Daphnia pulex: one gene and its partner. The protein of the gene in region 2 purifies or fractionates together with the protein of the main gene of each other region. This does not show direct contact. Links are inferred from orthologs where the notes say so. Each region holds a gene or a part of one and is shown on either strand. Other genes may lie near its edges.

Region 1 (4,035 bases), on a different chromosome or scaffold from region 2:
TTGAAAAACATGTCCCGTCCAGCTTTGCCGGTGCAGTAGAGCGACAGCGACGAAAACGGTTCCACTCCGCAGAGGGAGGACATGTTGACGACCGTTTTGCGCTGCTGGACTGGGCTGGAGGCGAAGCGGCGCAAGAAAATCGCATTGAGAACGACGACGGAAGCCAAATTGAGCTGAAAGTATTGGACGCACGAGTTCACCGAGACCAGATCGGTGCAACGCTTGGTAGCGTCGCCCAGCGATCCGGCATTGTGGACGCACAATGCGTGGGCAAAGGACTCGGCCGATTCACCAGCCAAAGCAGATGAGACGACACCATTCAAAGCCGACTCGTCACAGCTGGATAAGTCAGTCACGCCGACATGAACTCGCACTGACGGTCGATCGGTTTCGATGGCCTTCTGTAACGAATCCAAATCTTTTTCGTCACGGGAAATCAGCAAAAGGACAGAGTCCGCGCCCATTTGTTTCGATATTTTCTCAGCCAGAGTCCTCCCTATGCCACGACTGGCACCAGTCACTATGGCAAAGGTTTTCTGATTCCAGTAACACGACTCATCCATTCTTCTTCTATTCATATGATGGTTACTCTTGCTGGTTGTTAGTCTCTGGTGTGTCTTCCTCAGGAGTATTTTCTTGCAACTGATCTGCCTTTAAGAGATGGACCAGCTCTCCAGTTGTCACTGCTTGCAAGTGAGGTGCTACGTGCCGAATCACTGTGCCAGACAGAGACTCCTCGACAGGACAATCAAAATTTTCAATTTCACCCAAGCCTTGCAACTGAGAAAACTGTGAATTCAATAAACGGTCAATGTGGCCCTCACGAGCTCCTGCCAGAGACAGCAGCAAATCTCTTTTCTCAGCCCCACTGTTTGATGAAGGGGTTTTCCGTAATTTGCACAACTTCTTTTCTGAAAGGGAAATCACATGTAACCCAAAAGAACAAACAAAATATACATGTGGATCACATACCTAAATTCTCCAAATAAGTAGAAGAGTCGGGTAATGGCTGGAAAGATTCGTTGGAAGAATCGACTTTATTGTCTTTGGAATCAGCTGATGGACAAAAGTTATTGTCAAAGTGCAGGTGAAATTCGTTCGGTTCAACAGATGAGGTGATATTTCCATCAACAGTGCTTTCCCAAGGGTCATCCATTCAGCACAGTCTGAATGGGAGATAATCGGGACGTTGATAAATTATAGAAACACAAATTCGTGTTAACCGTCAACTAAACAAAAGAAACATTTACCGATAGGTATTCTACCGCCGAAAGAAACGTGTCACCCACACCCCGATAAGATGGCGCTGTCCTCTCAGGGTAATCGAGAAAACTTTAGAAATAAACCGGTTTTCACTGTTATTAAGATGTATATATTTAGAAAATTATATTTTGTATAAAATAATTAATTATTTAAATACACATCGGATTATTTATTCACATTTTAAAATTCATTCAACAAATAGCAGACGAAATCTAGTTGTTACGTCAATTGAAAGATGGCACTCGACTTTTCGAGCATGTTTTAGAACTTTCTGGTTAAAATACTAGTAGATCCTTACCGATCCTTTATCCTTGTTTCTCTGCTCGCACTCGAGTGCAGATCATACAGTCCTGTCGTAATTGTAGTGCCAGTTGAAGTTCGCTTGTGTTTTCCTAATTGGAATAACGATGGCCAAGTGGGGCGAAGGAGATCCACGGTGGATCGTCGAAGAGAGGCCAGATGCCACTAATGTGAATAACTGGCACTGGTAAGTATATCTACCGGAACCTGCTTATACGACGGCAATTTACTAATTATACCATTGTTTACAGGACAGAGAAGAATGCATCCCAATGGTCTAAAGATAAGATTGATGAACTCTTAAATGGCCTGGAAATAAATGACATAATTGGTAACATTCATTACAATATGTTAAGACTCGAAAGTTTTACATCCGACGTTTTATATGTTTTAGGTAACTGTGTTATAACTGAAATAGAGAAGATGGAAGGAGAAGCCTCTGCTAACAATCGCAAGGCTAAACTCATTTTTTTCTTTGAATGGACCCTCCATCTCAAGTGGAGTGTAATGAATGATGAAAGGCATACAGTAGTACTCCCATATTCATAACTATCATCTTATTACAGGGGAAAGTGAGTGGTACCACTAAAAATATAGAAGGCACCGTCATCATCCCCAATTTGAGTGACGAAAACAATGCCGATGAGGTTGATGTCAACGTCACAACATCTGCTACAGGCCCTGATGCAGATGCCATGAAGCAGTTGATGCGAACTGTAGGGGCCAAAGTGATCAGAGAACAACTTGCAAAGTACATTAAAAGTTTAAAAGAAGGTTAATAACAATATATTTGTGTTTTTGTATGAAAGTTGATGTATCGTTAATGCTGATTCTTGTTTTGTTTCCCCTTTGTTGTTTCATCAGATTTTACCCAAGGTATGATTTTACCGAAAAAGGATACAGAAGTCAAAAATGGCGACAAGACCCAAGTTACCAAGGATCCCGGTGTGAAACTGCCATCTTCTGTTAGTACTCCCGATTTGAAACAATTGCAGATTGGAGTAAAGGTTGAAATGCAATCGTATACGTGCAACCAGAATTTCAAATGCCCACCAGTTGAATTGTACAACGTCCTAACGCAACCCGAATTGATGCGAGCATTTACCTGCGCCTCGGTGCAGGTCAATCCTTCGGTCGGAGGCAAATTCAATCTCTTTGAAGGCAACATAACCGGGACCTTTGTTGAACTGGTAAGTTATTCTACTTTGAAATGTGAAATGGTGCAATCGTCAATAATCTTTTCCATAGTTGCCCAACAAGAAAATTGTCCAGAAATGGAGATTTAGAACCTGGCCAGAAGGTCATCATTCGACGGTGACTATAGAACTGAAAGATGAAGGAGACTCTACGAAGTTGTCGTTGAGTCAGAGTGGAATTCCCTCTACGTAAGAAATTGAGTTTTATAATTGATGCATTCAAGTTTATATTTGAAATTTTTCTTTATTTAAAACAGCGAATTCGACAAAACTGTCGAGGGATGGCAAAGATACTATTGGGAAGCGATCAAACGAACTTTTGGTTTCGGCGCATTTCTTCTTTGATCACCGGCCAGACAAAATGACATACCTCTCCTATCGCTCTCACAAAAATCCTTTTGTCGCCTGTATTTGAGCTATTTACACTTGTCTGCTGTCATGATTAGTTCAATTCAACAATTTCTTTTTTTTTTCGGTTTTCCTTCTCTGGATCAAAGTTTGGTTACGTAATCTTGGAAGAAAATGAACGGAACCAATTCCTGATGAAACCAAATCCTCAATTATTTTTATTTACTTTCCATAATTGAAGGTGGCGCGCAAGCTGCTGTTGGGGGAAGAGGTGGGTGTAGTACAGCTCGGCGCACCGTACAGCCACGAATATTTACATCCATATAAAAATCCATTCAAATTATTACAGTCAAGAAACTGAAAGTGGGAAAGAAAACAGCCAATTAGAAACGGGTTGACCTGTTGGAAAATTATCACAGCACATTGAAAGTTTCACATCAATAGAGAGACAGAATAATAATTATATAATCGATCATATATTATATTATATGTAGTAGAAACACAAAAGGAAGGAAAGAAACGCTCACAACGCCAAAGCGATTATTATTATTTTTTTGGGGGGAGTATTTTTTCGAAATATTTAAAAGTTGAAACACGCACACACAAGTCACAAATGTTTACATGTCGAGCCTTTTGTCAAAATAATAATTCATTAGAAGAAATTGTGTTTCTTTGGTTAGCCTTTTCCAAAGGAGGGAGGATTCTCCTGGGTAGAGAGAGACGTGACTAGAGTCGAGTGTGAATGGGTAATTATTTTATATATATAATTATTACCAATTTTGGCTTTTGGCATGTCCTTAATCATGTCTCATTTCAACGATAAGACGACAGCGGGTAAGGGGGTTCGATTTGGTCATAGGTACAGGTGGCGTAGAGGCCCTCGACCTCTTGCGGGATGACTAAATCCTCGCTCTGGTAGCGACTGGAT
Region 2 (4,530 bases):
TAACAGGAATTGACACGTTTAATCGACTTCTTCCATGCGAGAAGCATCTTCTTCATCATTCTCCAATGGCGGCATCTCTTCTTCGGCTTTAGCTTCTTCACCACCGGCAGGGACATCATCTTCATCAATGCCCAAACCCAATTTGATCATGCGGTAGATGCGAGAAGCGTGGACGGCGGGCTCTTCCAGGGAGAAACCAGATGACAGCAGAGAGGTTTCAAACAGCAACATGACCAAATCCTTGACGGCTTTGTCGTTCTTGTCAGCCTCTGCTTTGACGCGAAGGGCTTCGATGATGGGGTGATCGGGGTTTATTTCCAGGTGCTTCTTGGCGGCCATATAACCCATGGTGGAGGTATCCCTCAAAGCCTGGGCCTTCATGATACGCTCCATGTTGGCTGTCCAGCCGTACTGGGAGGTGACGATACAGCAGGGAGACTCGACCAAACGGTTGGAAATGACGACCTTCTCGACCTTCTTGTCCAAGATGTCCTTCATGATTTTGCAGAGACCTTCGAATTTGGCCTTGTCGCTCTCGCGTTTCTTGGTTTCTTCATCATCTTCGGGGAGTTCCAGACCCTCCTTGGTGACGGAGACGAGCTGCTTGCCATCGTATTCCTTGAGCTGCTGGACGACGTATTCATCAATGGGCTCAGTCATGAAGATGACCTCCAATCCGCGCTTCTTGACAAGCTCGACGAAGGAAGAGTTGCTGACTTGATCTCTGTTCTCGCCAGTGATGTAGTAAATGTGCTTCTGGTTCTCCTTCATGCGGGAAACGTATTCCTTGAAGGAAACCTGGTCCTCTCCAGAGGCGGAAGTGTGGTAACGGATGAGGTCAGCGATCTTCTTACGGTTGGTAGAATCTTCATGAACTCCCAACTTCAAGTTCTTGCTGAATTGTTCGTAGAATTTCTTGAAGTTCTCCTTGTCCTCGGCCAACTCCTCGAAAAGTTCCATGCATTTCTTGACCAAGTTCTTGCGAATGACCTGAAGTAGAGAAAAGTAATAATTAGTTTCAGTTAACGATGTTGACAAAAGAAATAGAATAAATTACCTTCAAGATCTTGTTTTGTTGGAGCATTTCACGAGAAATGTTGAGGGGAAGATCCTCAGAGTCGACGACTCCCTTCATGAAGTTGAGGTACTCGGGGATGAGCTCCTCGCAGTTGTCCATGATGAAGACACGGCGGACGTACAACTTGATGTGGTTCTTCTGTTTGCGGTTCTCAAACAGATCGAAAGGTGCACGACGTGGGACGAAGAGGAGAGCGCGGAACTCAAGCTGGCCTTCAATGGAGAAATGCTTGACAGCAAGATGATCCTCCCAGTCATTGGTCAATGACTTGTAGAACTCTCCATATTCTTCCTGGCTGATGTCATCGGGATTGCGAGTCCAGATGGGCTTGGTTTTGTTGAGCTCCTCATCGACAGAGTATTTCTCCTTGATGGTCTTCTTCTTCTTCTTGTCTGTTTCCTTGTCGGCTTCTTCATCCTCACCAACATCTTCGACCTTTGGTTTCTCCTCATTCTCGTCCTTCTTTTCTTCCTCCTCAGCCTCATCGTCGCTCACTTCCTTGTCGCGCTCCTTCTCGACCAAAAGCTTGATTGGGTAGCCAATGAACTGCGAGTGCTTCTTGACAACCTCCTTGACTTTCTTCTCCTCCAGGTAATCCATTTGATCTTCCTGCAAATTAAAGAAAAAACAAATATTAGCATACAGGAAATTAAGCCAGCGAAGACAAAGAAACATACCTTCAAGTGGAGGACAATCTTGGTTCCTCTACCCATGGGTTCTCCGTGATCAGGCTTGATGGTGAAAGAACCACCAGCTGACGATTCCCAAACGTACTGCTCATCATCATTGTGCTTGGAGTGAACTGTCACCTTGTCGGCAACCAGGTATGCAGAGTAGAAACCCACACCAAACTGGCCAATCATGGAGATGTCAGCTCCGGCAGAGAGGGCTTCCATGAAAGCTTTGGTTCCAGACTTGGCAATGGTACCCAAGTTGTTAACCAAATCAGCCTTGGTCATGCCGATACCACTAAAGAAGACACAGTACAGTTAAATAATTGCTCTAATCAGAAAAACTTGACTTCTAAACTTACGTATCACTGAGAGTGAGGGTACGGTCATTCTTGTTGGGGACAATCTTGATTTCAAGATCCTTGCCGCTGTCCAACTTGCTAGGGTCAGTCAGGGATTCATAACGGATCTTGTCTAGGGCATCTGAGGAGTTGGAGATCAACTCACGCAAGAAGATTTCTTTGTTTGAGTAGAAGGTGTTGATGATCAAGCTCATAAGCTGAGCAATCTCGGCCTGGAATGCGAAAGTCTCGGCTTCGGCTTCCATTTGAACTTCTTCAGGCATCTAAACACAGACAAATATATTTAAGTTAGAAACGTTTGTCAATCGTGGTACATTAGACTCAATAATTCAAATTCAAAATATTTTTGTACTAGCGGCATATCAAAAAATGAGTAAATGAGCAATTATTTTTTAAACTTACTTTGCTTTAGAAGATAATTAAACAAGAACACAAGATTGTTTGCAAGAATGGTCTCGTGGAGAGTTTTTCCCGTGTGGAGATGCGATGTTTTTCGCTCAATCGCCGGTTGAAGACTGTGAAGAGTCGAACACGAGGGAGGCCTTATATCAAAGAGGGACCCGGGGAATCCAACGTTGTAGTAGTGGAAGCTACTAGAACAAACCATAGGGGAGGAGGGGGTTCGAATTCTCTCGAAAAATCGAGAATGTTCCTTACCGAAGGAAGTCTTGGTGTTGCCGCTTTCAAACAATTACACACAAACTCATTCAATTTACCTTATTTTTAATTTTTAAATTCACACAAATTCTGTATATTTCTCAAGTATTGGTGGAATTTGAATTTTGAGTGGCTACTGATATTTTTTGAATTATTTAAAATGTTTTCCAAAAAATCGACACCGAGTCTACCGACCATGTGTTTTGACGGATCGTTGATTCGGTGTTCGTAACCGTTTTTAACCGTCAATTCAAGTCCCATCTGCTGTCTAATGCATCTGTTTGTATGAGTTGGTCTGGGATTATCATATTACCAACCAGTTGACACATGCTTACTAATTTTGACTAATAATATCATGTAATGAAATGTTTCAGTTTTTTCTGCATTATTGCTTTTTTCGTAAATAATGCATTCTTGCTTGTAAGAAACGGTGAAATCATAGTTCACCTTTTGCCTTTGTAATAGCGAGTCGAGATTCGAGAAACGTCTAGAAAGCCTCACGTCTGGTAAACCCCACGTGGTTTTTCTTCTTCAGAAATCTTTTGTTCACTCAGTCGATAAGATTACAACGAGTTATAAAGTTTGTAAACCTGTACAACAAAATTCTTGTTGTTATAAATTTTGTACAGAAAAAAAATAAAGAAGATTTTTTTTTTAATTCTTCAGCTTCAGGCAAAACAATTTAATTCAGGTGACAGATAGGAATGCCCTTTAAAGCCTTGAAGTAAACAGAAGCTTGACATTGAGTTCTCCAAGAGCAATTTTATCTTGTGGAATTCACATTAAGGTTTTTACTGAATTTCACCTATGGCGTGTGACTCATAACGAGATTTTGACTAAGAAATTATCATTCTTTCCTTCCAGGCTTCCAGGAAACTTGTTCGTATTTATATCGAAACAGATATTTTCCTTGAATTTAGGCCCCAACGTCGAATGCTGCAGTGCGGCATTAGACACAGGTTTACACACACCGAGTTCCTCTGTTGGGTTTCCTCTATGTCAATGGCCTAGGTTGCCGAACCCAATTCCCTTGTAGAGATCAAGGAATGAAGGTGTGTCATATCAACGTTGCGTAATTGACCTCCAATTGTTGTTATTTATTGCCATTAACCAACTCCCAACATTTTAATCGTAAATGAACTTTATGTAGTAATTATGAGTCGCAAAGGGTGTGACGATTTTAAGATGATGGTAGGCTGTGTGGTGCAAGATGGACTTCCAGCAGTCAAACTCAAACCATCTGGTTTAATTATTTTTATCACAGGTGAGTAGTGACAGGTGTCAGAACTACCAGTGCGCACAATGCACGAACCATGAAATATCTATGAACGTTTCAACACAATATAATTAATTGTTTTAAATAAAAGGCTTTGATGATGTTAGCAAACGATCAATTAATCGATTTCTAAATTAACAGATATCGGAAAAAATTAAATGAGAAAACCTGCAAGATTGTTTGCAAGTTTTGTTCAGAGGAAAACATTTTCTGTCTGCTGGTGTATATTTTATTATTTTGCTTCCTTAATCCTTATCGTTGTTTGGAAGTTGGAAACTTAAAAGATTAGCAGTTTTTACTGGCTGAAAAAAATTTTGAAAGCTATTCTTACTTTTGCTTGTGTAATAAGATGAGATTTTCAAATCAAAACTGTCAATAACAATTCAAGTAGTTAAATGTAGAAAATGCTTTTTTTGTTACATGCAAGTAAGAGTAATTCTTTTAAAATTCAACAAAGTATGTAGAAAAAATTCTACTCAAAACAAA

The links.
Region 1: the proteins of heat shock protein 83 (region 2) and activator of 90 kDa heat shock protein ATPase homolog 1-like fractionate together in Caenorhabditis elegans (co-fractionation; 3 studies listed by BioGRID, with this or other methods). This does not show direct contact. The link is inferred for Daphnia pulex from reciprocal best matches to the Caenorhabditis elegans genes hsp-90 and ahsa-1.

What each region holds. Positions count from the first base shown.
Region 1 is NC_060018.1:236,797-240,831, reverse strand, and holds activator of 90 kDa heat shock protein ATPase homolog 1-like, read left to right. Parts: upstream 1-1,491; 5' UTR 1,492-1,670; coding exon 1,671-1,750; intron 1,751-1,814; coding exon 1,815-1,894; intron 1,895-1,957; coding exon 1,958-2,067; intron 2,068-2,129; coding exon 2,130-2,337; intron 2,338-2,427; coding exon 2,428-2,753; intron 2,754-2,811; coding exon 2,812-2,948; intron 2,949-3,016; coding exon 3,017-3,104; 3' UTR 3,105-3,307; downstream 3,308-4,035. Other genes in the region: sepiapterin reductase-like, read right to left, coding at 1-464; uncharacterized protein LOC124188718, read right to left, coding at 586-911, 973-1,156; roundabout homolog 2-like, read right to left, coding at 3,921-4,035.
Region 2 is NC_060026.1:16,238,527-16,243,056, reverse strand, and holds the start of heat shock protein 83, read right to left. Parts: upstream 3,027-4,530; 5' UTR 2,514-3,026; intron 2,375-2,513; coding exon 2,112-2,374; intron 2,048-2,111; coding exon 1,756-2,047; intron 1,688-1,755; coding exon 1,058-1,687; intron 991-1,057; coding exon 19-990; 3' UTR 1-18. UniProt on the Caenorhabditis elegans protein: Molecular chaperone that promotes the maturation, structural maintenance and proper regulation of specific target proteins involved for instance in cell cycle control and signal transduction. Undergoes a functional cycle that is linked to its ATPase activity.